Linked DNA regions of Arabidopsis thaliana. The protein of the gene in region 1 interacts with the protein of each later gene in a pairwise test. Each region holds a gene or a part of one and is shown on either strand. Other genes may lie near its edges. The genes, in order: AT1G66920 and CHX10.

The links.
Region 2: the proteins of AT1G66920 (region 1) and CHX10 interact in a protein complementation assay, tested with the Arabidopsis thaliana proteins (one large-scale study listed by BioGRID).

Annotation. Positions count from the first base shown.
Region 1 is NC_003070.9:24,958,062-24,974,350, forward strand, and holds AT1G66920 (Protein kinase superfamily protein), read right to left. Parts: upstream 9,526-16,289; 5' UTR 9,372-9,525; coding exon 8,663-9,371; intron 8,586-8,662; coding exon 8,562-8,585; intron 8,470-8,561; coding exon 7,349-8,469; 3' UTR 7,073-7,348; downstream 1-7,072. Other genes in the region: AT1G66890 (50S ribosomal-like protein), read left to right, coding at 1-29; AT1G66900 (alpha/beta-Hydrolases superfamily protein), read left to right, coding at 1,491-1,795, 2,424-2,460, 2,549-2,785, 2,861-2,908, 3,003-3,194; AT1G66910 (Protein kinase superfamily protein), read right to left, coding at 3,573-4,762, 5,070-5,880; AT1G66930 (Protein kinase superfamily protein), read left to right, coding at 11,919-12,651, 12,802-13,515, 13,614-13,634, 13,738-13,764, 13,852-15,008; AT1G66940 (kinase-like protein), read right to left, coding at 15,140-15,291, 15,404-15,541, 15,669-15,758, 15,918-16,289.
Region 2 is NC_003074.8:16,394,599-16,411,367, forward strand, and holds CHX10 (cation/H+ exchanger 10), read right to left. Parts: upstream 10,227-16,769; 5' UTR 10,075-10,226; coding exon 9,862-10,074; intron 9,681-9,861; coding exon 8,655-9,680; intron 8,573-8,654; coding exon 7,460-8,572; 3' UTR 7,293-7,459; downstream 1-7,292. Other genes in the region: CHX11 (cation/H+ exchanger 11), read right to left, coding at 2,440-3,552, 3,641-4,666, 4,915-5,127; AT3G44935 (uncharacterized protein), read left to right, coding at 14,405-14,719, 14,995-15,012. UniProt on the Arabidopsis thaliana protein: May operate as a cation/H(+) antiporter.

The DNA.
Region 1 (16,289 bases):
CTGTACTTGTAACTATTCCTGAACAATAAACTCTGAAACAAATAAATTATATTAACATTTTTCTATGTTGAAATTTTGATTTTTAGGATAATTGTTTTTTCTTAGGATTTTAATCCAATTCTGATTTTGTTTCTCGGAATTTTATTGTGATTTGTTTATTCCTCAAAGTAGATATATATTTTTTTTCTTCTTGAAGTTAATATTATATACTATGTAATTGCAAGTTTTTGGTTAAAATTGCTATAATTAATTATTTGTATTTGTGTGAGAAATCATCATTGGCATTTTGACTAAAACACCAATGGATATGAACTTTGTACTTGTCTTATTTGTATTATTGAGAATGATATTTTGCATAAAAGAGAAAAACTATTTGTAAAGTATATGAGAAGAACATGAGGAGCATATATAGGAGTATCATCAAATTTTCTTTTACATATATAAATATATCACTAACATGCTCTCTCAAAATAGAGGGATTTGTGGAACTCCAATCTTGTCACCTATAATGAGAGTGAACCAATGTCGATTTAGTGACTTGATGAGGCTATTTGCTAGTTAAATCAATTGTTGGTGTTAGCCATTTATGGCAATATGTTTCGTCCAAGAATGAAACACTAGATTTGTGAAGAGGTAAATCATAAATGGCTTCTTCATTGTCAAATCAAATACCAAATTTTGTAAGCAGAGAATATTCCTCAATTGAGTCGGATGTTGTGTTTGCTATTGAACAATATTCTACCTCAATTGTGAAAATCCATGATAAATTTTACATTTGTTAATATAATTATTTTGACGTCGAATAGTTTACTTTCTATTAATTTACAAACTTATTTGCCTTGAATTTTTTTCAAAAAATAAAATAAAATAGTATACCTTAAAAAAGTCTCTAATTTTTCAGTAACCATATGATTAATGAATACTTTTATGTTAAGAATAAGATTTGAATACCTTACTTTCTACTCATTATCATTAAAAAGTAAATTATATTTATTATTTTTGCCAACAATGTATTCAAATTTAATTGTTAAATAATTTCAAAATATTCAAATTTAAGATTCTTAATTCTTCTTTTGCTTACATACAAAAATTCTTCTCATTCATTGACTTAAAAATTCATCTAAACTCAAATCACCAACTTATATTGTTTTGTTAATTAAACGAATTATTATTTATGTTTTTTTAACGATAAATAACTAAAACAATCGCAGCATGGGGAATCTCCATCCACCAATAAAATCATTTCCTAATTTTTGACTTTTAAAACCTTTTGACAAAAACCAGATATTCTCTCCCATTTCCCTCAATCATCCAAACCACGCGCCGCCTCTAATCTCTCACGCGCCGCGGTCCGATTTCAAATCCTCCATCAATTTCTCCATCCCCTCTTCTCGTTTATTCATCAAGATCTCACAAAATCCAAATTTAACTATAGGGTTTCAATTACTTCGATCAAAAGGTATCTAATTTATGAATTAGAATTCATCATCATGGGAGGTGTTACATCATCGATCGCTGCTAAATTTGCTTTCTTTCCACCAACGCCACCGTCGTATGAGGTTATAGCCGACGATAGCTGCGGTGGACGTTTATACATACCGGAGATTCCTCGCCGTGATGATGTTGATATATTGAAGCTTCGTACTCGTTGTGGTAATGAGATCGTTGCTGTTTATGTGAAACATTCAAAAGCTAATGGCACGCTTTTGTATTCTCATGGTAACGCTGCTGATTTGGGTCAAATGTTTGAGCTTTTCGTTGAGCTTAGCAATCGCCTTCGCGTCAATCTTATGGGGTAAAACATTTATGTTATTGAATCTTAAGACATTATGCATAATTGGTTTGTTACAGCTTCGAAGTTCAGACATTTTGTAGAAAGATTACTACTTTGCTTTGCTTTGTAAAGATCAGTGCTTTAGAGCTTCAAAGTTGAGACATTTTCATCGAAAAACTAAGACTTTTCTTTGTTTATAATTTGCCCCAAAACTAGGATCTGTTGATACATTGTTATAGACATGTAATGAATTGTTCGTGTTTTAGGTTTTTTAGTAAAGGATAAGTTTTTGAGAATTTAAGTAGAATTGGTTTTTGTGGTCTTATAGTAATATGTTGTTAGAAGAATCAATCCATGTAAAACAAACAGTGTGTTATAGTTTCAAAGTTTGTGCCTTTAACCTGAGGCAATTAATCCATATCAGTCACACTTTCCCTATGCTTGTCATTGCCAAAACTAGGATCTGTTGTTACATTTTGTTATAATGTGTGACTTAACATTTCAACTTTCCTTTCGTGATTGATTCATTTCCATCTAAAGGTCTTCTATGACTTGCTATCTTGCTTTCGTCACCGTTGATAAATTGTTTCTCATATATTAGTGACTGTTAGATTGTTTTCTAATGTGTTCATCGGTTTTTCTTTCTCAGGTATGATTACTCTGGTTATGGTCAGTCTACTGGACAGGTGTAGTTTCGAGATTACTACTCTGTGTTATGAAATATGAACTTTCATGGATTGTTTCTCATTGATATAGACTTGGTATATGAATCAGGCTAGCGAGTGTAATACATATGCTGATATAGAGGCATCATATAAATGCCTCAAGGAAAAGTACGGTGTAAAAGACGATCAACTGATAGTATATGGTCAATCTGTTGGTAGTGGACCTACGGTTGATCTAGCTTCACGCACACCTAACTTAAGAGGCGTGGTTTTACAGTGTCCTATCCTGTCTGGGATGAGGGTTTTGTATCCTGTGAAATGTACATATTGGTTTGACATTTACAAGGTGATTTACTAAACATCAAATTTGCTTCTGATTACATATATAGCTTCTAAAATGGCGCAATTTCATGTTTTTCAGAATATTGACAAGATCGGCTCAGTTACCTGTCCTGTATTAGTAATCCATGTAAGTGACACCATCATCTGACTTCTTGCATTGCTTTGGCTTTGAGTGTGATTGTTATAAGACAGGTCACTGAACTCTCTTGTTGGTCTATTAGGGTACTGCGGATGAAGTAGTTGATTGGTCTCACGGAAAACGGCTCTGGGAACTCAGCAAAGAGAAGTATGAACCTTTGTGGATAAGTGGAGGTGGACACTGTGACCTTGAACTCTATCCAGATTTCATCAGACATCTGAAGAAATTTGTTGTATCACTTGGCAACAAACAAGCAGAGCAAGCTCCCACATAGCGAGATAGCTGATATGTTTGAAATGGGTTATTTTCAGAGAAGGCTAGACAGTTGGCTACAGAAAGTTCAAAAGAAAGTAATAAGCCTGAGAGATTCAAGATGAGAGTGGTAATAGGTTTAGTCATTAAAAGATAAAAAAAGGTCTAGTCTGGTGACACAATGGGTCAATCTGGAATGTAAACAGTATAGTACATTTCGTGAATAAATGTATTTTCTGCTTTCATGCTTTAGTAGGTTCCAAAGAGGTTACTTTGTTTATTTCACATTCATGGATCATACTTTTATGATTCTATAACATGCCAGAGAAAGCTGTAAAAATAAATAAATGTATTGGCTACTTTTTTTGGCTTTAATAGGCTCCAAAGAGGGTTTCTTTCTTTATGCAACATTTATGGAGCATATTTCTGTGTATGCCGAGATATCCTCTGAAAAAGTAGAAGATTCTTGAAGAGTTGCTGTGGGGATTTGCTGCAAAACAGGCCTAGGAGGGACTTCAAGAGCATCCAGGTTTCCTTCCATCATCTCTACGACTCTATTCATTGCTGGGCGATCTAATGGCCAAGGCTGAATACACCACAAACCTACCAACGTCATCTTCTTTGCTATCTCATCTTCTTCGTTACTGATTGCAGTCTCGATACTCTTTCCATTGTGTGCCTTTTCAAGATCCCTATATATCCATTCGGGAAAGTACATTGAGCTTGTGCTTGATGTAGTGTCCTCGGTTGATGTTTTGTTCCTAGCTCCTATTATATCAAGAACCAACATTCCATAGCTATACACATCTGACTTGTGGGAGACTCTACCGTACACTCTTGAAAACACTTCGGGTGCAATGTACCCTATCGTTCCTCTTGTGTCCATTAGTGACAAGATACTTTCTTTCCTCTCGCATAGCTTAGCAAGGCCAAAGTCTGAAACTTTCGGGGAAAGATTGTCATCTAAGAGTACATTCTGTGGTTTTATGTCGAAATGTACAATCCTTGTTCTGCAACCATGGTGTAAGTACTCTAGACCACGAGCAACGCCTAACGCGATCCCATATAGTTCCCTCCAGTCCATAGTTGATGACTTCTTGCTTGAGATGAACTTATCAAGAGACCCGTTTTCCATAAATTCGTAAATAATTGCTCTCTTGTAACCTTCAGAGCAGAATCCTAGGAGGGTAACAATGTTGACATGCGAAGTTTGGCTCATGCTTGCAACTTCATTGATGAAGTCTTCACCATTACCCTGCGACTCTTTTAAGACTTTCACAGCAACACTACGACCGTCATAAAGTGTTCCTCTATAAACAGTTCCAAATCCGCCTTTTCCAATCACTTCGGCGAATGACTTCGTTATACTCGTTACTTGCGCGTAGCTATAGTGTTTCAGTGGAATAAGGGCCTTTAGATTCTGTTGTCTTGAATCATCTGATGTCCTCATTCTTGGATCATTCAATGTCTTTCTTTGCCGTCTGATGAGACAGTTCAAACATGTGACTACAAGAATTACGCCCATCATTGCAAAGGAAGCAGCCCCAATGCCTAAGACATAAATAACGATAAAAAATAGTTTTAATATTACTTCAACAACCCCTTCAACAAGGTATTCAAATTAGAAATAGGTTAAGCACCTGCTTTTGCTCCAGTAGAGAGGCTTGTATCTGTGGAATGGCACCAGAAAAAAAGGTTAGTATTCGAACTAAATACATACCTGTGAATCTTACTGGAAATGAAAAACTTGAAACTCGAAGGAGTTTCTGTATATAGTTATCAGAAACTAAGAGAATTTTCTGTAGATGATCCAATCAAAAAGTCGATTTAGGGAAGGGACTAGTGGTGATTCTTGTGGAAGAACCATTAGGAAATTAGAACATGTAGGAAATAATACCCTTGTTTCTAGTAGGGTTTTGTGGCTCTTGCCTATAATAGCAGACGAATCTACTTGAGGTTTGACTAAATCCACAAGCACCCTTAGAGTCTATGCACGTCCGGCAATCTGAGTTAACTTCAAGCGCGAAACCATCTTCAAGTGCAATCTTTAGATTATCTGTACTTGGAGTACTCTCCAGTGTGTTCAGCGCGGTTCTAGAAGCGGGATTACTGACGTTTCTACTGCAAGATCCCCCAAAGTCGTTTAAAAGGAAACTATTCCCTTCAAGTTTAAGGGACGGCGGAAGGAACGTGAGGTTTCTCGTCAGATAATAATTTCTTCTATCATCAGTCCCATCATCTGGACAATCAAGCTCTTTAACAAAAGTAGAAACAAACGATGAAACGTTTCGGTTGCAGTCGTAATAAATGGTTAGCAGGTCGGTGGTAGAAGCAAGTGGAAGGACGGTTTCGTTGAATGACGTAGTGAAGGAATTTGGGAGACACGGATCGTCGATATTATCGGATCTGGCGAGTGTTATGATACCAGAGTCATAATCCGCACCTAGGATTCTAAATTTGACAGAAGAAATGCTAAGCTCTGGGACTCCTGCGTTACAGTCAAGCTCGAAGTCAGGGTGACCGCATTCTTTTCTGCCAGCAATCCAGAAAGGGTACAAGAGACCTCTCTGATTACCACAAGTAAACGAGGGACTGCAGAGTATGTGATTCCCATCGGCTGATAAAACACAAGATATATGGATCACAAAGAGCATCCATATGAAGCTATAGGACATAGATTTGGTCAGAGAAAGAGAAAAATTGATCATCGTGTTGCAGGTGAATGATAAAAAAAAGATGGTGAAGAAGAGATAAATCGATAAGAAGCAAGTGGCCATGGTGAAGGTCGAAAAGGATCAAGTCAAGGAAAGTTAGTTGACCCAAAGTCAAGGAAGGACAGTGACATATACAAAGAGACTTTTTTGGAGTCCTTATTAGTTTCAGATACTAAGTTATTTCTGAAAACTAATGAGAATCTAAAGATATTACAGAAAATATTGGAGTGTGAAAAAAGGCAAAGACCGTCATTCACTATTGAAACTAACTGATATCGAAGATGAAAATTCAATTTGTGACTAGTTCATGCCAATTTTCAAATCAGTTAAGTTAGAACTCTTTCTAAGCTCAGTAACAGGAGAACAAACACAACCATACGTCCTGATATATATACTGCTCCTTTCCGCAAAGATTACACTTAATCGGTCTTACACAACCCTAACACACTTGTTAGTTTGTTCCTGGCCAACTTCTAACTCATGACCACAGATTGTCCCCGATCACTCTACAAAATTACCGTGCATAACGGTCTTCTCTGACAACTACGGTCTCTTTAGAAATACCACCAACAGACCCTCTCCTCATAAACTGAGAAGACATTGCATTCTTGTTTATTCCAAAAGTCTGATGTCTCCATAAGAAGGTTCAGGCCACCTTGCTTACCAAGTTACCATCAAATTAAAATTCATTCCTGTTTTTTCCAAATGCCCCATACAATCCAAGGAATTGCCAATTGCAGATCACGGGGAATGTCATTGTTTTCCATCAACTGAAAGATAAATTACATGTTCTCTTTAAGAAAATCTGAGAAATGGTATATAGGAATATCACATACTTTAAGAAAAATAAAATGATAATTACATAAACTAAGAATGTTTTTGATTGATATATGCATAGTCCATTTGAGTCCCCTCATGAAAAATAAGTACATTTAAAAACTTGATAGTGATCTAAAAATTGAAGAAATAAATAGGTCCAGATTAAAACCAAAACGAGTATGTTGCTTCCTTCTGAGTATGGATGATATCACTACCTTCCTTCTCGAAACAACTATATCATTTCTAATCTAATTCTCATTCTATATTCCTAATGATATATAGTATCTGTAATATCTACAAATCAAAAGTTAGTTTCTTTAGTTTTTCCGAATAGTAATAATACAGAAAATTAGAGTTATCAAAGACGAGTCAGTTTAATTTGTAAGAATTTTCTAGGAAGTTGAGGCAAAACATGGAACTAAATCTTGAGTGGGAATGGAAGGACTTATTTGTAAACATAGACCACACTTTCTCCTAACCAAAACCTGTTTTTGTTCATGCATTAAATACCGTCTATGACTTACTGACCTTAGAAAATTCAACAAATGTGTTCTATTCTTTTTTATGCAAAGAAAATTTACGTTCAAACGACAGAGATTTACTCATAAGCTAAAAGCTTGCGAGTTACAGTTTACAGAGAAAATCATATCTCAGAGGAGATTGAATTTTCCTCTGAAATCCAGGAAGAATCGAGATGAGGCACTACAGAGCATTGCAAAACAGGCCTAGGAGGCACTTCAAGAGCATCCAGGTTTCCTTCCATCATCTCTACCACTCTGTTCATCGCCGGGCGATCTAATGGCCAAGGCTGAATACACCACAAACCTACCAACGTCATCTTCTTTGCTATCTCATCTTCTTCGCTTCTATTCACGATAAGCCTTCCATTGTCTCCCTTCTCAAGATCCTTATATATCCATTCGGGAAAGTACATTGAGCTTGTGCTAGATGTAGTGTCCTCGGTTGATGTTTTGTTCCTAGCTCCTATTATATCAAGAACCAACATTCCATAGCTATACACATCTGACTTGTGGGAGACGCTACCGTACACTCTCGAAAACACTTCAGGTGCAATGTACCCTATCGTTCCTCTTGTGTCCATTAGTGACAAGATACTTTCTTTCCTCTCGCATAGCTTAGCAAGGCCAAAGTCTGATACTTTCGGGGAAAGATTGTCATCTAAGAGTACATTCTGTGGTTTTATGTCGAAATGTACAATCCTTGTTCTGCAACCATGGTGTAAGTACTCTAGACCACGAGCAACGCCTAACGCGATCCCATATAGTTCCCTCCAGTCCATAGTTGATGACTTCTTGCTTGAGATGAACTTATCAAGAGACCCGTTTTCCATAAATTCGTAAATAATTGCTCTCTTGTAACCTTCAGAGCAGAATCCTAGGAGGGTAACAATGTTGACATGTGAAGTTTGGCTCATGCTTGCAACTTCATTGATAAAGTCTTCACCATTATTACCTTTTAAGTCTTTCAAAACCTTCACTGCAACCATACGGCCATCAGAAAGGGTTCCCCTATAGACAATTCCGAATCCGCCTCGCCCCACCACTTCTGCGAATGAGTTTGTAATTCTCTTCACTTGTTCGTAGCTATATTGCTTCAGTTGAATAAGTGCTTTGATTCTTGGTTTTGGAATATGTTCCTTGAGGTCTTGTTGACCCTTATCATTTGAAGTTTTTTGCTTTCGGATAATATGGACAACCAATGTTAAGACCAAGAATGGAAGTAGAGAAACACCTGCTATTGTAGCTGAAACCACAAAATTGTTTGGTTAAAAAGATCAAAAACAGTATTCATAACCAAATTAAGTTTATTTGAAAGAATAGGAGAAGGTAAAACACCTATTTTCGCTTCAGAAGACAAGCCTACAATAATGATTTTCAGTTTCATTTCAGTATAAAGTTGTTAAAGAAAATGGATATGAAAGGATTAAGATACTTACGAGTTGGTAGATTGAGTGGCCGGCATTTAGTTTCTAATGGTAAGGTTCCGGTAAAGCCGCAATATTTATGAGAAGATGAACATTCTTGACACGAATTTTCATCGATTCTCAACCTCACCTCAAATCCATTTCTTACATCCCTTACCAAACTTGTTATATTCAACCTTTTCTCGTTTGGAACGAAACTCGTAGGAATGTTCACGGTGAAACGGGCTTCGCAGCTAACAGGATTTTCAAGGTTGTCAGACACTGAGACCGAACCTATCGCAGGACATCCGTACCTTGCAAGGTCAGGAATAACAGGGTAGCAACGGTAGAGTGTGACGCTCTTGTAGGTTGGCAAAATATCGAATATTTCTGGTGGCAAAGTCGCGTTGGCGAATGGGAATGGAGAGAGGCAAATGGACTGTAAAAAGTCTGTTCTGGCAACTCTTAGAGTGTTATATGTATGATTTATACTAAGAACATGGTACAAATGGTCTGAGATGGTTAAAGAGGTGATGTTATCAAGGCAGTGAAGCTCCAGCAATGGATGACCGCAAACTTCGGGACGATTCCCTCCCCAGAAGGGAAAACCGGCAGTGATGTTTCCACACTGAAACTGAGATTCGCACCATCCAAGTGTTTGTTTACTTGAAGCACAAGGAAGATGGTAAAATAAAGAGAAGAAGAGGAACAAGACCAAACAAGAACTGGGGAGATAGTACATGATCGGTTTGATCTATGAACAATGTGTCTTGTGGTGAGATGTAGCAAAAAGAGAGAGATATCGGAAAGGAGCACCCTAAGTCAAGGAATGATAGTGACAGATACAGAGAGATTTGGAGTCTTTTTTTTTATCACGTCTATATTAGTTGACCCTAAAAATGGTGTTTCTCAATTATTTTCTTTAGATTTTGGTTTTAGTAAATTGTGGAGTTAAGTCTTCAGTGGGAATGAGAGGGATTTGCCAATAAAGCTTTACCATACTATCTCTTATCTCCTAAATCTGTTTGTCTTCGTTATTCTAAAGATGACAAAAGAGAATATAGGAGATTGGAAAAGTCAATAATTTGTTCAGTCAAAGACTTAGGTTCACACTTTCAATTATACTAGATTAGGATGTGTTACCAAACGGGTTTCTTATTTAATAATTCAGTAACAACATTAAACTAATATAAATAATGTTAAGAAATAATTATAATTGATACATTTCTTAGAATGAAAATTAAAATGTATTTCAAAACGTGTAAATTTTTAGGTGCAGGAACCAACCGAGGGATGTCGACAAGAGCTACAACTGGTAAGAAGTTATGTTCGAGAAACGTTTTGAGACTCATGTCTCTGACTCCAGTGAACTGTTGCAGCATTGGTGGCACTGAGGAATTTGTTCCTTCTCTTTGTTCTAGTTTAGTCTTTCGGATGACAATAAGATGATGGTTTAAAAATAGAATAGAGCAAAATAAAAAGGAAACATTTTTGTTCTTATTTTCTTGAAAATTAGACCAAACAAGACACGTATATCTACAGTCATGATAAAACCGGATGACATTGTACTGATTACTGAGGATGTCTCCAATATTATGACCAATAGTGTTTCTAGAAACAAGCTCTGGTTTGAGTACGAATCGGTTATGAGCTCTATGACGAGTTCTTTATTTTTTATTTTTTTTAGAAGAACACAAAGTTTAGAATAAGAAAACACTCCTCTGGTTTAGTAGTGATTCGTCATCAGTGAAGCATTATTTTGTTGGATAAAAATAAGGGTTTTAATATCACCCAATCGGTCCACTTGCATTTTGTTTCCTAAATTAAAATATAGTTTCTCCAAACTATCATGTAACTATGAGTATATTTATATGTAATTAATTACTTCATTAAATCAATCCACATTAATGAAATAAGTTTCTGAATGTTGACTTATTATTTTAATACTTGTGCTTTTGCATGTTCTAAATATAAAATATCTGAAGCATTAATTTGTTGGGTAAACGAGAGGCTTTGATCTCACATGGTACACTTGACATTTTCTCTTAAAAAATATGTGTTCCCACAAGAAATGTCATCATCTAATTGTTGTCACATGTAACTAGTACATCTAAGTTAAAGTCTGGTGAGTTACTTGTTTAACGCTTGATAGTGCTTTTGTATATTCTAAAGTCTAAACATTTGAGTTATTAACTTTTGGGTAAAAGAAAGTTTTTATTTTACCCCATTGGTCTATTTGGCATTTGTTTTTTCTTAAAATATTTTTTTTCTTTGAAATATCAGCTAATTATTGTCACATTTAATTAGTACATCTAAATTTACAATTAAGAAATCAATTTCTAGAATGTTGAAAATTTTGTTCAATTCATGATAATTTTGCTTGTTCTAAATTCTTTAACATCAATTTATTAGTTACGACAATGTTGCTTGTTCTATTCACATTAATTTGTTAGTTACGACTTACGACAATGGTTTTGACCGTTGACAAAAAAAAACAACACATTATAGGGATCCACTTGACATTTATTATTTTAAATAATAATATTTTTATTTTCTGCAAAAAAATTATTTGATTTCCATTGACTTTGGAAAACTTATGTATTTGATGTTAAACTGTTTTTTTCTTTTAGATTTAATTTAACATTATATTTCAAATAAATAAAATACAGTTGAATTATTCGAATTGTTTCTAAACCCGGTAAACAAAATCCAAACTACCCAAAAATATATGAATTACTCAAAATATTCCAGTACAAAAAAAAATTTCCAAACGAATTTAAAGTACTCAAAAAGTAAACTAAGTACCCGAAACTAGATAAAAATGGGTTAATTAGATTTTTTTTTTTAAGTACCCGTTTGGATCAAAAAGTTTCGGTGCCCGTAATACTGGCCTCTAAGACCAGTTCGTATCAGATATTTCTAATTTAGTTTGATTCGAATTTTTGAGTACGGGTATTTTGTACGTTTGCTTGTTTAAAATATTTAAAACACTATTTGTTAGCTACGAGATGAGTTTTGATAGTTGACAAAATAAAAATAAATAAGAGTTTGGATCTCATTTTAATGATCCACTTGGCATTTACTATTTGAAATAAAATTAGTTTTCCTTCCCAATAAAATTGTTTTATTTCATTGTTACTGGTAAAGTAATGTGATCAAAGTAAGATCTTCGTATTTTTGTATATGTCACCTGTCTCTATGCTTCTCTCTCTCACGCTCTCTATCTAAAGTCAATTGCTCCTCTCCGCTCAACACAAACCAAACGCAGGAGACACACTGTTCACAAATCATGTCCTATATGCCTACTTCTTGTCTGGTCTTGTTCTTCCTCTTATTCTTATTCCACCCTCTTCCTTGGGCCCTAAGTAAAGAAGACCTAGGGTGGTGTGAGGCTCTGTTTCAGTGTGGTAACAACACTGCTGGTTTTCCCTTCTGGGGTGGGAATCGTGCCAAACCTTGCGGTCATCCGTTGCTGGAGCTTCGCTGCCTCAATAACATCACCTCTCTAAACATCTCAAACCATGAGTACAACGTTTTTCATATAGATCAAACATCTAATACTCTTAGACTTGCTAGAACAGACCTTCTAGGTTCTTTTTGTTCCGCTGAATTCAATACCCCAACTTTCCCCCGCGAAATCTTTAAGCTATTCCCAACTTATAAGAGCCTCACCGTTTTATATAACTGTGATCCAAAGCTATCTTACCGCTCAAGTTATACATGTCCTGATCTAGGTCTTTTCTCTATGTCTCAAAGCCTTGATTACCAAAATTCCTGCCAAGACAGTTTCAAAGTTAACGTTCCAACTAGTTTTGTTCCAGAGGAGAAAGAGATGAATCTGACCCATTTGGAAAGTGCTCTAAGAAAAGGTTTTGAAGTGAAGCTGGTGATCGATGAGATACCGTGTCAAGAATGTTCATCCAGTCGTGGAATCTGTGGTTTCAACAGTACCACACAGATATGCTGCAACGTAACCTCACTTTCTGGTGGAGTTACTTGCGTACCACAACATCAACCTAGCGGTAAGTTTCTCACCTAATCCTATTGAGTGGCCTCCAAGGAAACAAAACAAGAGTATAACAAAATGATCAAGCTATCTCTGTTGTTGACGAATTCTCTGTCTTAAAGTCAAATGATGCTCTTTGTGATCCCATTTTTGTTTTATGTTTCAGCTGATGAGCTTAGGCGCCGCTGTAGTGAACGGTTTAGCTGCGGCAATCAGAGAAATCTCTATTACCCCTTTTGGATACCTGGTCGAGAATATTGTGGCCACCCTGACTTCAAGCTTGACTGTAGCGGAGGATTCGCAGAGCTTAACATAGCCTCCGTGAATTTCAGAATCTTAAATATGAGTTATGACTCTTCTAACAAAAGACTTGCCAGATCAGACTATCTCAACGATCTTTGTCCCCCAAACCCACTAAATGATGAGCCTCTCATCGAAACAGTCCTTCAATTCAGTGCTGACACAGAGTTGCTAACATTATATTACGACTGCCAACTTAATTCATCTGCTACTTCTCCTTTTCCTAGTAGCTACTTTGGAGAGCTTGGTTGTGATGAGGGAAGAAGTTACTATGTAACGAGAAACCTCTCATCTCCTTTACTTGACAGGTTTAGAGGAGTTTTAAACAACTTAAGAGAAATGTGCAAAAGAAAAGTCAGTGTTCCTGCGTCTGGACCGGCGTTAAACACACTTCAGACAAATCCAAATTCAAACAATCTAAAGATGGCTCTTGAACATGGTTTTGAGCTTCAAGATAACTCAAATTGTTCTATGTGTGTTTTGTCTGGCGGTTCTTGTGGATATAATCAGAACTCAAGTTTGTTTGTATGTTATTGTAAAGATGGGCCGCAAGATAACCAATGCGATATAAACCTAGATGGTAAGTTCTCTTCCATCTTATTAAGTTTAATTTCAAAGGACAAAGTTCTGTTTTCATTTCTAACTGACTTTGTTTTTGGTACCATTTGATTGTTGCAGATATTATCGGGAATCGAATAGGTACTTAACCTTTCTTGGAGTAACTGATTTAATCTTCGGAGCAAATCTTTGTTCGTTTCAAAATTTTATGCTGACTAATTTTACTTATTTATTTGTTCTACAGTGGCTATTATCATCGGCATTTTCGTAGGTAAGTTAAATAACTAGAGATATTTCTTTTTGCTCAATCAAATAAAGTTACTAATAAAACAGAGTTTCTCTGTTTTATTTTTGACAGCTTTGTGTACAATAGGAGGTTTCATTGCTTTCCTTGTATTATTGTGCCCTTGTTGCAAAGTCCGAATTTTCCGGAATAGAAAAACATCAGATGATCGGAGACAAGAGAAGCTAAAGGCCCTTATTCCACTCAAACATTATACTTATGCACAAGTAAAGAGAATGACAAAGTCATTTGCGGAAGTGGTTGGGAGAGGCGGGTTTGGAATAGTTTATAGAGGAACTCTTTGTGATGGCCGTATGGTTGCGGTGAAGGTCTTGAAAGAATCAAAGGGTAATAATAGCGAAGACTTTATAAATGAAGTTTCTAGCATGAGCCAAACATCTCATGTCAACATTGTTTCTCTTCTTGGATTCTGCTCTGAAGGTTCAAGAAGAGCTATTATATATGAATTTTTGGAGAATGGGTCACTCGATAAGTTCATCTCGGAAAAGACTTCAGTGATTTTGGACTTGACGGCACTGTATGGGATCGCGCTAGGCGTTGCTCGTGGTCTAGAGTACTTGCATTATGGCTGCAAAACGAGGATTGTGCATTTCGACATTAAACCTCAAAACGTTTTGTTGGATGATAATCTTTCCCCGAAAGTTTCTGATTTCGGACTTGCTAAACTATGCGAGAAGAAAGAGAGTGTCATGTCATTGATGGATACAAGAGGTACAATAGGATACATTGCACCAGAGATGATCTCTCGAGTTTATGGGAGTGTTTCTCACAAGTCAGATGTGTATAGCTACGGAATGTTGGTCTTCGAAATGATAGGTGCAAGGAAGAAAGAACGATTTGGTCAAAACTCTGCGAACGGAAGTTCAATGTACTTTCCAGAATGGATATATAAGGATCTTGAGAAGGCAGACAATGGGGATCTTGAGCATATCGAGATTGGAATCAGCAGCGAGGAAGAGGAGATAGCAAAGAAGATGACATTGGTGGGTTTGTGGTGTATTCAGTCTTCCCCATCAGATCGTCCACCGATGAACAAAGTTGTAGAGATGATGGAAGGAAGTTTGGATGCTCTTGAAGTTCCACCTAGACCTGTTTTGCAGCAAATTCATGTAGGACCTCTTCTTGAATCTTCTTGGATTACTGAGGAAAGTTCAAGCATCTCCGAGATTGAAAATAGGAATCTTCAAGTTTGTGAAAAAATATTGTCTTGAAAGTCATACTCTAGACTCTAGAGAAATGATCCTATAAAGTTAATGTCTGTAAATATTATTTGCATAACAAATAGAGAACAAGTATCAGTATACAAGAACACAATTCAAAAGTTCCACGGCGGCTTCTTAGATCAAGTCCGTGCTTTAATATCCTCTGAAAGTGTTGGTGATTCTTTAATAGGTCTAGGAGGGACTTCAAGAGCATCTGATGATTTTTTCTTTCTGACAATCTTGGCTCGGCAACATAGGCAAAGAAACACCAAGGAAACAATAATACCTGATACTAAAAAGCAATGCAGAAAAACAGAGAAAATGTTTGGTTAGTAACTTTGTATATATAATCTAAGAATATAAAAAAAAACATTTTGAATAGTCTCGAGGCAAAAAAAACTAACCTATGAGTATCAAGATCAACACACCACCTGTATAACCATTAAACAAGTAAAATTTGTCAGCATAAAACCAAAGATTAAAGAACAATAAACTCAGAGAGGAAAGGTTAACGGTACCTATTATCCATCTAATATTAGATTCTGTATCGATAAAATGGCGCAAAAAAAAAAGAAAAACAGTTAGCGCTGAATGAACACAGAAACTGTGAAACCGAAATCATGAAACTAAAGAGAGTGTCTGTAAATGAACCGATGAAAGAAATCTTACTGCCCGAACTGCATGATAGGCTATACGGATCCTTACAATAGCAGAGGAACGTACTTGAGGTCTGATTATATCCACAAGAACCCTCAGAGTCTACACACATTGAAAAGTATGGTGTGGAACAAGTCAAAAGCAAGAAAACAAAGTAGTAGAGGAAAAAGAGTAATGCTAAGTTAAGCTTATCCCTTGTCCTCACCTTTTCTCTTAAGCTCATTAGTAAGTAATTTATGTCTATAAGTGTATGAAACTTACCACTTGGTGGACGACATTTAACTCCTGGTGTTAAGTTTTCGTTGAAGACATGACATCTTCCAAGAGAGGATAAACATTCCTGACATGTATTCTCATTGATCACCACCGTCACCTCAAATCCTTTTCTTAAAACACTTTCCAAATTGGTCACATTCAACTCTTTCTCTTTTGTATCGAAACTCGTGGGAACCTTCACGGTGAAACTGGAACGACAGCTCTCAGGATATTTTTCAGGGCTTTCAGACACTGAGATGGGACCTATCTCAGGACATGTATAGCTAGAAAGGTTAGGAAGCACAGAGGAGCATTGGTAGAATATAGTGACGCTCTTGTAGGTCCGTGAAAGCTCGAAAGTTTCGGGAGGCAAGGTTG
Region 2 (16,769 bases), on another chromosome or scaffold:
TATCAACTCTGGAGAAATAAGAAGGAAAAAAAAAAAAAAGGTTTGAAGAACTTGTGAGTTTTTGCATATGAATTTCAGTGGTGATCGTGTCATTTTTGTTGTTTACTTTGTTTTGGTCTTGATTTTTTTTTTTGTCTGAGAGTTAGTTAGTCAAAAACTGTTTGGATATTGATGGGTATGATTTGCTGGATGAATTACAAGCTGGAAAATCTATACATAAAACACACACAAAAGTACAGAGTTTTATTTGCTGACAACAAATATTTTCTGTTACTAATTGACCCTCAAATTTAGAAACACTAATCCACACATAATTTTTTTTTCTATGAGTACTTCACAATAAGTAGAATCCTAATAATCTGTAAAAGTATACTTTTAATGAGAGCTCGTTTGTCTCTTTAATTTTTCCTTAATTTTTTTTTGTCTTTTTCTCTTCTATTGTTTCTTGAATATTCTTCCGGTTTGAATCCTCAGATTGTCACAAAAAGTGACAAAACCACACCTTATAAATATAAGACATAGATTTATTTTTCATAGGGTAGAGTTGGAGCAGGCAGCACCCCAAATACTAATCGTTATGTGTTTTTTTGGCTTGCACATAGTTTTGACTTTTGATATTAAATAATTAACTACCCGAGAACAAAAGTGTTGTTTCTAGTATAATAAAAGGTAACTCCCATGTTGTGAGCTGAAAGCGTAACCAGAAGCAAAAACCAGCGGATTTGGGAGAGAGTGACAGCGTATCCGGCAAGGTTACTTTTGTTGTGAACGACGAATCGGAGGGTCCCGGTGCAGTTTATATTCCCTCTCATATTTCTCCATGAGCAGTTTTTTTACTCCGGTGGTCTGAAAAAGCCCTTGCACGTGTCAACAGTTGAGGAAAGATTATTTGACATCAGTAGTCAGATATCTCGAAGAGCATGTCACCCTAAAACTCCTTTCAACAACAAATGTTGGACATTGAAGAAGAAGAGAGCATCCTCTACCAAGTGTATATGGATGTCTCTAAAATCTCCAAATCCTTTTCTACATCAAGAGTCTCCACATACTCGACCATCTCTACGAAAATTGTGCTTGTGAATAAGAAAAAAATAAATAATGTACCAACGTGCTGTTGGCCTAGTGGTAAATTTCCCAGATGTAGGTGATGTGTTCGAGGCACGTTGGGAGGGATCTCTTCTCCACAGGAGATGAATTTAACCTGTTGTGGGTCCCGCTTCTGGGAGATGTAGGATCTTTGAGCTTGAAATTTTAGATATTTAAAAAAAAAATAAAAAAAAAATAAAGAAGTAAATAAATAATGTAAAATAAAGCTATAAAGACGCAATTAAAAACATGATACATCAATAAAAGAGAAGGAAGATGGTTGATATGAGTTAAATAATGGAGTTAGAGTTGTTAAGTTTTGATATATCATAGTTCATAAACTAAATAGAGGGAGAATGTTAGAGTCAAATTAATTGTTAATATCCTTGAAGAAAAAAAAATTACATGGAAATGGAAAATGGAGAGTTGTTTGAAGTTTAAAGCTAGAGTCAAATTATTTTATTCTCCTTTAGTGATTTAGATTTTTGTTACGTTTTATGCTTGATTCACAACACAAGATCTTCACAAACTTTCTAAAACTCAGCAATCGAAACTTCGAATCAGCTCAAGAACAGAAACGAATTGAAGAACGAAAGAAACAACACAAGAGATTTGATTACCCAGTTCAACAAGATCGGTATGATCAAGTTTCGGCCGAATCAGTTCGGCAATCCACTAGAACAGAATGAGAATTACAGAGTACAAGCAGAGCTCAACAATGGAGTTTCAAGCTTTTCTTTTTTGTTTGTTACAGATCAGAAACGGATAATGAAGAAGAAGAAATAAAGGCCTTTTATACTAATTCCCAAATAGAAACAGAAGACCCTCTCTCGCGAAAAGAAGGTTTCCTTTAGCCTCTTCAATCCGGTTTAAAACACTCCATCTAACCGGTCCTCAATTCCTCTTAACCACAACACCTAAACCGGTCACTTAAAGTTGAATCAGAATTAAGATCCACAACAATTTTTTTTTTGTTTTAAAGGGATCTTTTGAAGTTTTGAAAACTTAAGGAAAAATCAATTAGATGCTTTTTAATTCATTTAGAAGATATATGTGTGTGGAGATGTGTATTTTAATTACATAAGGGTTTCATAGTCTTTGTTAAACGTGCGGCCAAAGAGAAAAAATCATGTAATGCATGTGAGGTTAAGAGTCGTTTTGACTATTTTAGGACTGATCATTGTGGTGTTATTGTTCGCGTGGCCGCCATTGTATAACTGGAATTTAGCGATGCCGATATTCCAAGAGATTTGTATGGATATTATATTTAGACAAATGAATGACTATTTATACATGTTAAAATTTTCTAAAGGTTAGTCCTAAAAGAACGCATAGTCTTACGGTCAAAACATGTCACGTTTGTTGTTGTTGTTGTTGAACTACTAAAACCGAGACCTTAGAGTTTAGATCTCTAGCCGCCAGCAAATCCCCGATGACACCTAACTCTGGTAGTTCGACCCATTCCGTTAGTCCTGATAAGTCTTGTGATGTCATATCATGATCTCTCCCGACCACCATTAGATCGTACTCTTCTGCAAGCAATTGGACAGCTTTGACTACCTCAACGACACTAGTCACAATCCTCTCTGTATAAAGAATATCTTCATTGGATTCAGTACTCTTTAAATCCTTCAGGCCCTCGTTATCAAGAATATAGTCCCACTCTGACTCTATTTCATGGTCGAAGATGAGTCGGATCACGGTTACACGGACCCGCGGGTTATATTTCATCCTCTTCACCAATGATAGTGCCTCCCTATCGTCTTTGCCTCCAATGAAGAGCACACCAACATCAATGTTGTACCTATTCTTGCTCGTTACATAGCTTTTCCGCGAGAATTGTCCACGATCTACTAGTATGCCTATCGAACAAGGCGCACGATCGAGTAATGACTGGTTTAGTTGTCTTGCAGCAAGGTCGTCAGACTCGAACATCCCATCTACGGTCCATTTCCTCCCCGATGGGACGACAATCATCGATGTTGTTCGATCAAGTGCAAGTGTACATATGTCTTCGTGCATCAAGTTTTCATGCGAGAACGCGGTGAACGTAGTCACGGTTACAGACTCTAAGCTTTCTTGCATGAACTGTCTAAAGGCAAGATTTGCGGTATGGATGTACGAGTTTTTGTGAAGCCGCTTCAACTTCTTGTCGTGTGACACTATGATAGGGTTGATCTGACCAACTAGCTTCACAAGGTGGAGAACTGTGACCGCGATAGGGAAGTCATGTATCGGTGAGGAAAACAATTGGAGGAATGCTATGGTCTCCGAGACGTTTTCTGGTTTGTGCAAACAAGTTAGAATTCGAAGACCTGAGTTTGCTTCTAGATGCAATATGTCCCTTTTCTGATAATTAACGTACTTTCGTTTCGGATCGTACATGCTCCTTACGACCATAGGGACAATCCCTGCACTTAGTAGCGAATATAGGATTAAGAACGCGTAAGTGGCCTGTGATATGAACTGCAAAATCAAACCATAAAAACATGTTTAGATTTACGGCAAAATCAATAATAACAATAATAGACTCGTTTGTGGGTTAGGAGGTTACCTTTTCTTCTAATACAGCTTCATAGAGAACGAATTCAACAAAACTTTTGTAGCTTAAGATGAGGGAAACAGCCAAGGATTCACTGCGAGGTAACTTGTAGTACAAGCAAAGTGTAAGGCAAGCAACCAGTTTTATGACAAGTATAAGCAATGTTAGGAAGATGTTGAAGTAGATGTCAGTGAACTGGCTAAGGATCCTTAGTCCATCACATCTCATCGCGCTGAATGTGATTGAGATTGGTAAGAACACGTTCATCGTGAGCCTCTCAAACTTAGCCTCCAGAGCGGATCCTAACGGTGGACCCTCTGGTATGATGATGCCGATAATTAATGGTCCTAAGACGTATTTCATGTTGAAAAACACAAAATAAGCCGCGGAAGCAAATGCTGTCAGAATCACGGCATGAATGTATATATCCTCCACGGGCTTGTCTTCGGGTGTGCGGTCTATGATCCATTGCACCATCGGCTTAAAAACAAAAAAGACGATGAGAAAGAAGATGATCACCGCGACAAGGTCACGGTAAGCTATTGCATGTGAAACATGAATGTAGGTTGCTTGTGTAGTGGCGACTATCATGGCAAAAATCCCCAACATGTCGTTGATGGCACTTGCAGATAATGCAAGGCGACCAAGCTCGGAGTTGATGATCTTGAGCTCTAGCAATATATATGTAGTGGAAGGCAAAAGTATCTGAGACTGAGTTATGACAATCACAGTGCGCTCGGCCAGGGCTTTGTCTAAAGACATGTAGTGAGGGTCGATGTTGTCAGTGAAAAGGTTCAGGAAACTGAGACTAAACAAAGGAGCAAAGAAGGACACGATCCCGATCACAACTGGCAATTTTCCGCTATGGAACGCCACCCGCCTGCTGGTCCTAACAGTCATTAGAAACGTAAACATTAGTCTTCCAAATACTGAAATGCATCTTAACGCTGCGGTTCCATCCAACGCAGGATCCGCCGATAGTTTTCCTGAAGACTTCTCTAGTATATCGAAAAGCTGAGGCCCTAGAATTAGTCCAGCCTGCACATAAATTTATATATAGTATGTTATTTTTGGAAAACTATCTTCATGCACGCATTATCTTCTATGCGCCTTAAACAATTTACGTGCATGTCAAGTTACATGTCTACTTTTGTAGTTCTAATAGATACAAATCTTAACTTTTGTATCTTTTAGATACATGTTTTTTCCCATGCAAAAAATCTTTATTTTTGTAGTTCTACTTTTCTCTTATGTGTTTGTCAAGTTAAATATGGAAAGCTGCTTACAATCATATATGAAACGATCTGGGAAACGCCGATGCATCTGAGGAACATATGAGACATGACAATGCAGAAGAATATCAATATTATTTGAATCTCCAGGAGAGGCAACGAGTACCCGAAAACCACATCAGGCGATTTTAGGTTCTCCCAAAATCCCTGAGAAGATATGTTGAAGAATGATATCCGGCAATGCCCAATGTAAGTAGTCGTGTTCATGAATATAAGTCCAAGAAATTAGCAAAACTTGGGGATGAAAATACCGTCTTTGTGTGATAAAGTTTCAAGTCTTTGAATTTGGGTTTTGAAAGAAGTCGTGTTAGTTTATTGTGATGTTTTTGTCTGGTCTTTGGTAAGTATTTGTCATGATCTCTCTGGAACTAATGGAACTTTCCAATTTAGAAAACAAATACCACAGAGAGGAAAAAAAAAATAGTTGGTTCTTTCATGGAGAATTTGCTTTGCTAAATAAAAAATTGCAAGTTTTGAGGTTTGATACACTGCTCCAAAATTAGCACAAAGTGTCTGTTCAGGGACCCAAGTTTAGGTCTATAGCTTAAAATCCGATTACACATAAATTTAGTCTAGAAATATTTTCTAACTGCTTCAATATATGATCTATATAAGTTTATAATTAATGTTTTTTCCTTCCCTGGATAATACTTATAAGTATAATTATTTTGGTCTAATAATACTTCTAAAATTAGTGACCACCCTAAAATCTGATGTACTACACTATGATAAATTTAGACGTGCATGCGAAAAAAGTGAGGAAAGATTTAAACCATATTTGAATAGGTGAAGAACGAAAATGAAAATGAAAATGGGGAGAAAATGGAGCTAGTACATAAGCTTCGAGAAAGAAGAAGAAGAGAAAATGAGAACAGGAGAAGAAGAAGAAGACAAGAAGCCAGCAGCCGAGAAGGAAACCGAGTTCTTCTCGTAGCTCCTCGAGTCGCAACTAAGTTGAGCTGATTTGGAATCCTTTTGCTTAGGTTTAGATCTTTAGATCAATCTCAATCTGAACCTACGAAGATGTGAATGAGATGAGAAGGAGACGTCAATCATATGCGAAAGAGGAAGGCACAGACAGATATATATGTCAATGTGCTGTGCACAATAACGTGATGTGTTTGATTTTCTAATGGATGTCTTTTTGTGTGATTTTTCTTTTCAAATTTAATGCATTTGTGTGTCTAGACTCTAGATGGCCACGAGGCCCACGACTGGATCGGCAAGGGAGTAGAGGCATATTGAAGACGGATGAATCCTAGACGTTGAATTGTGGCCCAAGTTAGGGTTGCTTGTTTTCTAAGAGATTATTAAGTGGGTTAGAAGGATGAGTAGAGCTGTAGAGGCATATTGGGGTTGCGTGAAGACGGATGAACCCTAGACGTTGTATTGTGGCTCAAGTTAGGGCTGCTTGTTTTCTAAGAGATTATTAAGTGGGTTAAAAGGATGACTATCAAACTTTGAACAGAAACCTTAGCGAGATATAGAAGATGGAGAGAGAATCTCATCTTTCGACTCCTGATCCCAGCTCCTATGATATTTTTGATTTTGCCTCATTATCAACAATTGATGTCTCTATATGATTTTATTTGAGGATAATGCGTAACAGTGTAACACACAAGTTATCTATGTTGTATATTATTAGGAGAGACTTCATAATTTCTTTACTGGATCGGAACAGAGCCAAGGGTATGTATCTCAGATCCTGAACTTGAAAAACATATCTTGTCGAACAAGTTAGGTTTCTTTGTAAAATCTAAGACATGACTTGAGGCCGTTAAACTTGTCGGCCCCAAAGAACAAGTTAGGTTTCTTTATCGAATCTTGAACCCTGCTTTCTCCATCGATAGGCTCAATGTCTTTAATACTTCTTCCTTAAACTCGATTTGAGATATTATTAACCCTTAGAGAAAGCAGATATACATTAAGCTACATTTGGTTGTAATTTAATTTTGTTGATCATATCAAGACCACTGTGATATTAGAGGAGTGGAGAAAAGAGAAGAGTAAGGAAGAAACAAAGCAACCGAAGATTAAATTGGAAATGAACAGATAGATTTCCAAAGACTAACAAAAGATATAATATAAAACCCCAAATTCAGAAACTTTCTCCCAACTAGAACTGGTAATGTTTTTAATATTTTCAAAGGGTTTCTTCTTAGACAATGTTTCTTGCAGTTGAAGAAACATGTTTCTTTCTTGAAGATAAACATGGAGTCGCTTCGACTTTACAGACCAGTGTCAGCTTTGGGCAACCTAATGTTCTAAGAATACCAGAAGCTAGTGAAAGAGTGAAAGAGTGAAAGGACGGATTGAGAAACACAGAGTTGAGCTGGAGGAAGTATAACAATCTGAATCAAAGTTTATGGTTATTCCTTCTTATGGATTCTAAGTATGTTTAATTTGTATATAATGTAAAAAAATTTGTATGAATATATACGCATATTATATTTAAACAAATGAATGACTATTTATACATCTTAAAATTTTCTAAAAGTTTGCCCTAAATGAATACACACAGTCTTGCGGTCAAAACATGTCACGTTCGTTGTTGTTGTTGTTGAACTACTAAAACCGAAACCTTAGAGCTTAGATCTCTAGCCGCCAGCAAATCCCCGATGACACCTAACTCTGGTAGTTCGACCCATTCCATTAGTCCTGATAAGTCTTGTGATGTCATATCATGATCTCTCCCGACCACCATTAGATCGTACTCTTCTGCAAGCAATTGGACAGCTTTGACTACCTCAACACTACTAGTCACAATCCTCTCTATATAATCAATATCTTTGTTGTCTTCAGTACTCTTCAAATCCTTTAAGCCTTCGTTATCAAGAATATAATCCCAATCTGACTCTATTTCATGGTCGAAGACGAGTCGGATCACGGTTACACGGATCCTCGGGTTATTTTTCATCCTCTTCACCAATGATAGTGCTTCCCTATCGTCTTTGCCTCCAATGAAGAGCACACCAACATCAATGATGTACCTTTTTTTGCTCGTTACAATACTTTTTCGCGAGAATTGTCCACGGTCTACTAGTATGCCGATAGAACAAGGCGCACGATCGAGTAACGACTGGTTTAGATGTCTTATAGCAGTGTTGTCAGACTCGAATAACCCATCTACAGTCCATTTCCTCCCCGATGGGACGACAATCATCGATGTTGTTTTGTCAAGTGCAAGTGTACAAATGTCTTCGTGCATCAAGTTTTCATGCGAGAACGCAGTGAACGTTGTCACGGTTACAGACTCTAAGCTTTCTAACACGAATTGTCTAAAGGCAAGGTTTGCGGTATGGATGTATGAGTCTTTGTTAAGCCGTTTCAATTTCTTGTCGTGTGAGACTATGATAGGGTTTATCTGACCAACGAGCTTCACAAGGTGGAGAACTGTAACCGCGATAGGGAAGTCTAGGTTCGGTGAGGACAACAATTGTAGGAATGCTATGGTCTCTGAGACGTTTTCTGGTTTGTGCAAACAAGTTAGAATTCGAAGATCTGAGTTTCGTTCTAGATGCAATATGTCCCTTTTCTGGTAATTAACGTACTTTCTTCTTGGATCGTACATCCTCCTTAAGACAGTAGGGACAATCCCGGCATTTAGTAGCGAATATAAGATTAAGAACGAGTAAGTGGCTTGCGATATGTACTGCAAAACCAAACCATAAAAAAATGTTTAGATTAATGGCAAATGATACCAATAATCGACTATTTGCGAGTTAGGAGGTTACCGTGTCGTCTAATACAGCTTCATAGAGAACAAAATCAGCAAAACTTTTGTAGCTCAAGATGAAGGAAACAGCCAAGGATTCACTGAGAGGTAACTTGTAGTACAAGCAAGGTGCAAGGCATGCGACCAGTTTTATGACAAGTATAAGAAATGTTAGGAAGATGTTGAAGAAGATGTCATTGAACTGGCTAAGGATCCTTGCTCCATCACATCTCATCGCGCTGAATGTGATTGAGATTGGTAAGAACACGTTCATTGTGAGCCTCTCAAACTTAGCCTCTAGAGCCGATCCTAATGGTGGACCCTCTGGTATGATGATGCCAATCATTAATGGTCCTAAAATATATTTCATGTTGAAAAACACAAAATAAGCAGCGGAAGCCAATGCGGTAATAATCACGGCATGAATGTACATATCCTCCACTGGCTTGTCTTCCGGTGTGCGGTCTATGACCCATTGCACCATAGGCTTAAAAACAAGAAAGACGACGAGAAAAAAGATGATCACCGCGACAGTGTCACGATAGGCTGTTGCATGTGAAACATGAATGTAGGTCGCTTGTATAGAGGCAACTATCATGGAAAAAATCCCCAAGATGTCGTTGATGACACATGCAGACAATGCAAGGCGACCTAGCTCGGAGTTGATGATCTTGAGCTCTAGCAAGATATATGTAGTGGAAGGCAAAAGTATCGAAGATTGAGTTATGACAATCGCAGTGCGCTCACCTAGGGCTTTAGTTAGAGGCATGTAGTGAGGGTCGATGTTGTCAGAAAAAAAATTCTGGAAACCGAGACCAAACAGAGGAGCAAAGAAGGACACGATCCCGATCACAACGGGCAATTTTCCGCTATGGAACGCCACTCGCCTGCTGGTTCTAACAGTCATTAGAAACGTAAACATTAGTGTTCCAAACACCGAGATGCATCTTAACGCTGCGATTCCATCCAACGCAGGATCCACGGATAGTTTCCCTGAAGATTTCTCTAGTACATCAAAAAGCTGAGGCCCTAGAACTATTCCAGCCTGCACATAAATTTATATATATGATTTCAGTTTCTGAAAAATATCTTCAATAGCACGCATGCATGATCTTCTTTGTCCCTTAAACAATTTACGTGCTTGTCAAGTTACATCTACTTTTGTAGTTCTAATAATTGGAAATATCTTGTGTGCTTGCCAAGTTAGATATGGAAAACTTGCTTACAATCATATATGAAGCGATTTGGGAAATGCCGATGCATCTGAGGAACATATGAGACATGACAATGCAGAAGAATATCAGTATTATCTGAATCTCTAGGAGAGGCAGCGAGTAGCCGAAAACCACATCAGGCGATTTTAGGTTATCCCAAAATCCCTGGGAAGATATGTTGAAGAATGATATTCGACAATCCCCAATGTAAGTAGTCGTGTTCATGAATATAAGCCAATAACTTAGCAAAACTTGGGGATGAAAATGCTTTTTTTTTGTGTTATAAAGTTTAAGTCTCTGGAAAAGAAGAAAAAAAAGTGTTCATTCTTTGAATTTGGGTTTTGAAAAGAGTCTTGTTAGTTTTTTGTGTTGTTTTTGTCTGGTCTTTGGTAAATAGCTGTCATAATCTCTCTGGAACAAATGTAACTTTCCAATTTAGAAAAAAAAAATATATATATCCAGAGAGTAACTGTTTTTTTTTTCCATTTTGTTTGTTCAAAAACGTAAAATCTAGAACATGAAGAATTTGCTTTGCTAAATAAAATTGCAAGCTTGGAGGTTTGAGCCAAAATTAGCTCAAAGTTTCTGTTTGGGGACCCAAGTTTATAGTCTAGAAATATTTTCCAACTGCTTCAATCTAAGTTTACAATTTTTTTTCTTTCCTTCCCTTGATAATATTTTTTCCGATCTAATAATACTTATAAAATTAGTGACCACCCTAAAATCCGATATACAATTAATCCGATAGATCTATATATACATTTTTGCAACCATTTTGTGAAATAAATCCTGTAGTTCGGATTTATTTACAATGGTTGCCACTGGATTTTAATGTTTGTTTTTGATAATTAAAAAGAAAATCTTCGAATTAAATATTTGACATTTAACAATCTTCCCAAAATCTCTTCATATTAACTACATGATTATTTACTAAAATAATACTTCTAAAATATTTAATATCATTTAATTACTACAAAATTATCATTTTTGATATTGCTTTTCTCCATAACTATAACAATTCGATTATAATCATCAAAGCGCAGAGATATAATCTGATAGCATTTAATTACTACAAAATTACAAAATATTTAGACAATGATTCATAAACATATCATAAATAAGATCAACATTAATAAAATAAATGGTTTTTTTTACAGGACGGGTTTGGCAGGACGTTACTTAATAATATTTGTAAACTATAAAATAAAATTATTTTATAGATAGATATAATTTGTAAACTTTTATATATATACTAACTTTAAAAAATAAATTGTTCCCGTGGTATACCGCGGGTTAAAATCTAGTTTAGACGTACATACGCAAAAAAGTGAGGAAAGATTCAAACCATAATTAAAATGTTTAATATGGCTGGTGGTCAAAAGTTTATCTGAAATTTCTGGTGCTTATTACCTTTCATTACCTCAATTACTAAAAACATCTGAAATATGAAATAATTAAAATCAGTATTCAAGTTAAATTATATTACAAATATTAAACATACAAAAAAATGTTGTATTTTTTATTGTTTTAATGGTGAGAAATGGTAAAATTTTTGGAAAATGTTTTAACAATAAAATACACCAAAAATAATAATATATAATCGTTTGATTTGCTCAAAGGCTGATTTCAAATGAGAATCTTTCAAAATCTACCACTGAATAAATACAGATTAATTGGTGGACAAGATGTGAGATTCATGATAATAGAGCAAGATGATGAAATTGAGGACAAGATCTAGACGCAACAGAGAATTTCCAATCGAAGATAATATCTGGAGACAAAAATGCGGAATTATATAAGGGTTTGTGGATCTATGGTCGTTTTATCGAAGTTATCTTTCAAAATTTCTTTCAATCTAGATCTTGAAAAAGAGAAATTTTAATTTTTATGTGCCAAGTTCACATTTTTTCTTAACCATTAATCTGTATTTATCCACTTTTACTAATTCTTGCTATACACTTTTAATTCTACAATTTTTATACTTATTTTGTTTTTGGTGAATATTTTTATACTTATTATTTCAAAACTAAACGCAAATATATTTTATATTAAAAAAAATTTAAATTCGAGAAAGAACTCTCAGAAATGATCATGGTAATTTCTTCTCCAAACGCCTTAATTTGTTTAAGAAACCTCCCTCAACTTATATTTTGATGCATAAATCGCCCTTCTCGATAAAGGTGTTAGTCAACCGTTATTCACTCGTATTTTTCGACATTTTACCAAACTTCTGAGCTCTAAGTAAAATACAATGAAAATTGAGATAACTTATTAAAAGTGAACTTAATTTCATAAACTGTTATAAAAGCATAATCTTCTTTCACATATTTTAAACCATCATAAGCTACATGGTTTAGACTATAGAATCTTAAATTCTTCTGCTATAGAACATGAATCTTATCCGCTGATTACTGTTGAAGCCATTTGTGGAGAATGCTAGCTTGGAGTTTTCGAATTTCAGGTTTCGGACATTTGACTTGATTCCGAACTATATGATGGAGGAATATAATGAGAATGTAACCATTGCGTGGTAGAGTTAGAGGACGCAACTGAACTGTCAAAAAACTATATGTTGCTTGGAAGACAAGGACTGCAATATGAACATTGTAAAAGAGACTAACATTGTAATGGTTAACTTGAGTATGCAGTTTCAATTAGTGTTCATAACGTTTAACTTTTTCTATCCCTATCCATACCAAATCTTGTTTTCAGGAATTTCGAGTATATTCTTCAACTGAAACTGGTTTGTATACAAAATAAAAAAAATGGTGTTCCTTCCAGTTTTATAAAAACCAACAATGAACCCCCATATCGATTTCTCTAATATTTATAAACTTATTTTATAAAAACAAATGTGTATATTTGTATAATTTTCCCTTTTAGTAAGTCTCGTTAATTTTATTTTCCCGTAACTAAGTGTCAAATCAATAAAAAAGGAATAAGCATAATCATGACTTTGTAAAGCTTCAAAAGAAAAGAAAAAAAAACAAGATTTTCTCGTACAATCGAAATTTTTCTTGTCTGAAAAAAAGAAAGAATAAGTAATTTTATAGTCTTGAAAGAATTTGTAAGCAACACCAAGTATTGGACTTTTGCTTTAATTAAGGAAAAGACCAATTAATAGAGAGAATAAGGTCTATATATATAATCACTCTTAACTTTTCCCTTTAAATATCTACGTATACATTATTATAGACTTTTTGACCAAAAATCCCTCAACTATTTATTATTTTCAATATTAGTCCTTACAAATATAATCTCAAACAAATAATTTATAACTAAAAATTTACAATTAGTTAATTGCATTAATTAGTTGAATTCACTCCAAAGACACTTAAATTGTTATAGAAACTTATCATAACTTTTTTTGAATCACATAACTCCAACGCCACAAATTTTTTATAGAAAGTTTTCATACTCAACAATGTGCATTCATTTCAAATAAAATTCTCACTTCAGATATATGGTAAATATCAAACTACATATATGACTTTTCCTAGATAATACAAGTTTTAAATCATTATTACTTCTAAAAAAAACTCAATTCGTAAACAAAAAATACTGAATTTTAGCATAATAAACTAATATTCAGCAAATATCATAACATAAAACATGAATAACACAAGCGATAAAAATTATAGAATTTTGAATATATTATTCATATACAAATAATAATACTTATAAAAATATTTATAACTTTTCAATGAATATATACGCCCGCAGTGTACCGCGGGTCAATATCTAGTAGACTATTAATAATGGGATTACAAAACTAGTATACCTTCGTCTAAATTTTTGATAATTAATAACAACTAAACTTTTGTTCTTTTTGTAATCAGAATTCCGATGTTTGATAAGTTTATATTAATCTATGATATTATTAGACTATATAGTTACATTGGATTTTCAAACAAATTATCATTTTATCAAATTATGTTAAATATTACCTTGATCTGACTCGAGATCGGAAAATAATTAATTTATAGTGATTATTAATTTATCGAATGTTAATTTATAAAGGTCATTTTTCGTACAAAGTATTTACGAATCTAATCGGTTTTAGTGGTTTTTGCTTCCTAGCCATGAAAACCGGATTTAAACGGATGAGTATACAGAACATAAAACTCAATGGCTCTTCCCAAACCCAATGCATTTCAAATTTTCTTGTTTTCTTGCATACATCTTATATTCTCAATCTTAATTTGGTAACTGAATAATGATCTTTTCTTACAAAATTTCTCATAGAAAATTCAGGAAATTGTTTCTACTTGGGAGAGCGACATCAAATATGGCATTACTCAAGCTCGGTATGTACAAGACTTGGTGGATGTTGCTACTCCGTCATTTCTTCTAAGCCGCTAGCATCAAAACGAGTTTCGAGCTCCCTCTCTTGGAGCAGTGATTGGAGAAGTTGATGATGTGCAATGTGGACCTTACACTCTTACTCTGTATTGGCGAGTAAAGATCTGTGGTATCCATATTATTGGGTAATGACTATGCTCATGACATACGTTATCATCCCAAGAGCACACAACTCCACGGTTTAGCAATGAAGATGGATATGCTAGAGGATGAAATGAGCCTTTGCAAAGTCATGATGCTCTATTTAGCAGAGGGACGATCGCTAGAGTTAATAGAGAATATATTCAGATCTTCCAAAACGAAAGGAAGAGTGATATATAACACCATGATCTCGGTGTATGGAAAACACTTTGCTGAGAATGCACACCAGTTGTTTCTGGAGATGGTCAACAACAGAATTCGTCTCAGCGGTCACACCTTCAAGTATCATCTAGAAGCATGGACGATAGCCTGCAAACCACAAAGGACTCTTGAATTCTTGCATTTCATGATATTGTTTTTTATAAAGGTATACTTTCCATGTATTATAATAGTTTTGACACCAAAACATAATTTTGAAAAATGAGATCAGTTAGAAAACGTTGACATAATTCTTTTCCCAAATTTTTATGGTAATTATTTTCTTTTAGAGAGTAAGGTGAGAGTTCTGTTTTTTTCCTTATTATATATGTTTTTTATAAAGTTTCATGTTTAATGTTTTCTATGTATGTTTTGCATTCTGATTTTGATTTTAACAAATATAACATCTAAGATCTTTAATTATTTTTGTTTGATTTCTTGCAGGGTAAGAAAAAGATGTAGGATTCTAATTTTTTTATTTGATCTCATCTTCCAAGTTTTTAAAAATATTTGAGCAATTGATGTCAAAATGGATAGAAAACAGAGAAATAAGCTAAGAATATTGTATAATTTTATTATAATATATGTATTTTTATTTCTTACGTTTTAACCTCCACAAATGATACGTTGGGTTAATTAAAAAAGATATGTCATGTTATATATTTTAGTCTCCTATAAAAGAATTGTTACTATGTAACAATCTATATTATTAATTAGGAATCATTCGATATAATATAATCTTATAAAGAATAATATATTATAAAAAAATACCATTGGTACTTTTGCATTTTAGAAAAAAATCGTCGAAGGATAAAGTGGAAAATTGGCAACTAAAAAGAATGCGGGTCTTGGGCTTGGTATCGGATAAACACTCGGATCTATAAAGCTACAACGTCTACTTTGATCTATAATATTATCTACAAGTAAAAAAAGGGATATTGTTGAGGCAACTAAGCACAAAAGCAAAAAGCATCGGACTAAGAAATGAAGAATAAGAACATTTAGGATGAGAAGACTAATGAGAAGGAAATTACATATGATAATACCAAAGAGAAAGAAAGGGATAAAATCAACACCTAAATTTATTGGTTTTTGATTTTTAGGTTGTTCTTGGCAATTTCTTTTGTTTTGTATTCTTTATATCCCTATTTGCCTTTGTGTTGTTTTAATTCTGATAGCATTGTTATGCTTAATAAATAAAGTGTCTAACTCTCGGTTTAAAGAATGAAAGTTCTATGTTATCAGTTGGAGAAAATTTTAGAGTGCTTAGACAACAAAAATAACCAAAACTAAGATAGAATACTTACATATGATCCATTTGATGGATAGTTCTCCATCGTTAATCCTAGATTAAAAAAAGTTATAATAATAATAGCGGAAAAAAGTCAATCCCAAATGATTTCATATATATCTCCGTGAGTTTAAGTATGTAATTTTGTAAAAGTAAAGTAAACAATCACCTGGTACTTTTGTTGTTGAGAAGAAGAGACATTGAAAACGAATAGCTTAAAAATACTAAGAAAGTGAAGCCTCAAAAACACCATGTCTGTGCAATATTGAGAGCTCACGAGCTCCGACAAGATGGAAAAAAATAGCAATTAATGAGCCATGAAACGAACTAGATACTACTTCATATGTAACATATGCTAACACTTATCTTTCTGTTCAAATGTGTAATTCAACAAACAGACAACAAAATTGTTTCAAGTATTCATTTGAAAACACAAAATAATATTTTACAATTACTTTTTATAATTCATATCTATACTATTATCCAATTCACTAAAAAACAGAAAACAAATTCTGTAATTACTAATACTACTATTTTAAAAAATATAGATACTAAATTTTATCTAACACATATGTTAAAATAAGAAATCCCACACGTATGTGCGGATCAAGATCTAATACTATATGTAAAGAAGAATTAATCTAAGGGTCTAAACCTAGCTAACTAAAAATGACCATAAGTCAAAATTTTACGGATTTGTCTAAAAACACTCACAAAATTTCTTGCTCTTATATAAGGCAATTGTTTACTAAATAATACATAAAAGCAACTAATTTAATATTTGTGGATAAAGTTTAAATATCCATAATTATTATATGAACCACAAAGTATTATACATAACAACAAAATGTTTACATTCACAACAACTAATTTTGATTGATTAAATTTCAAATGAAAATAATAATTTGTATATAGATCTAGCACATAA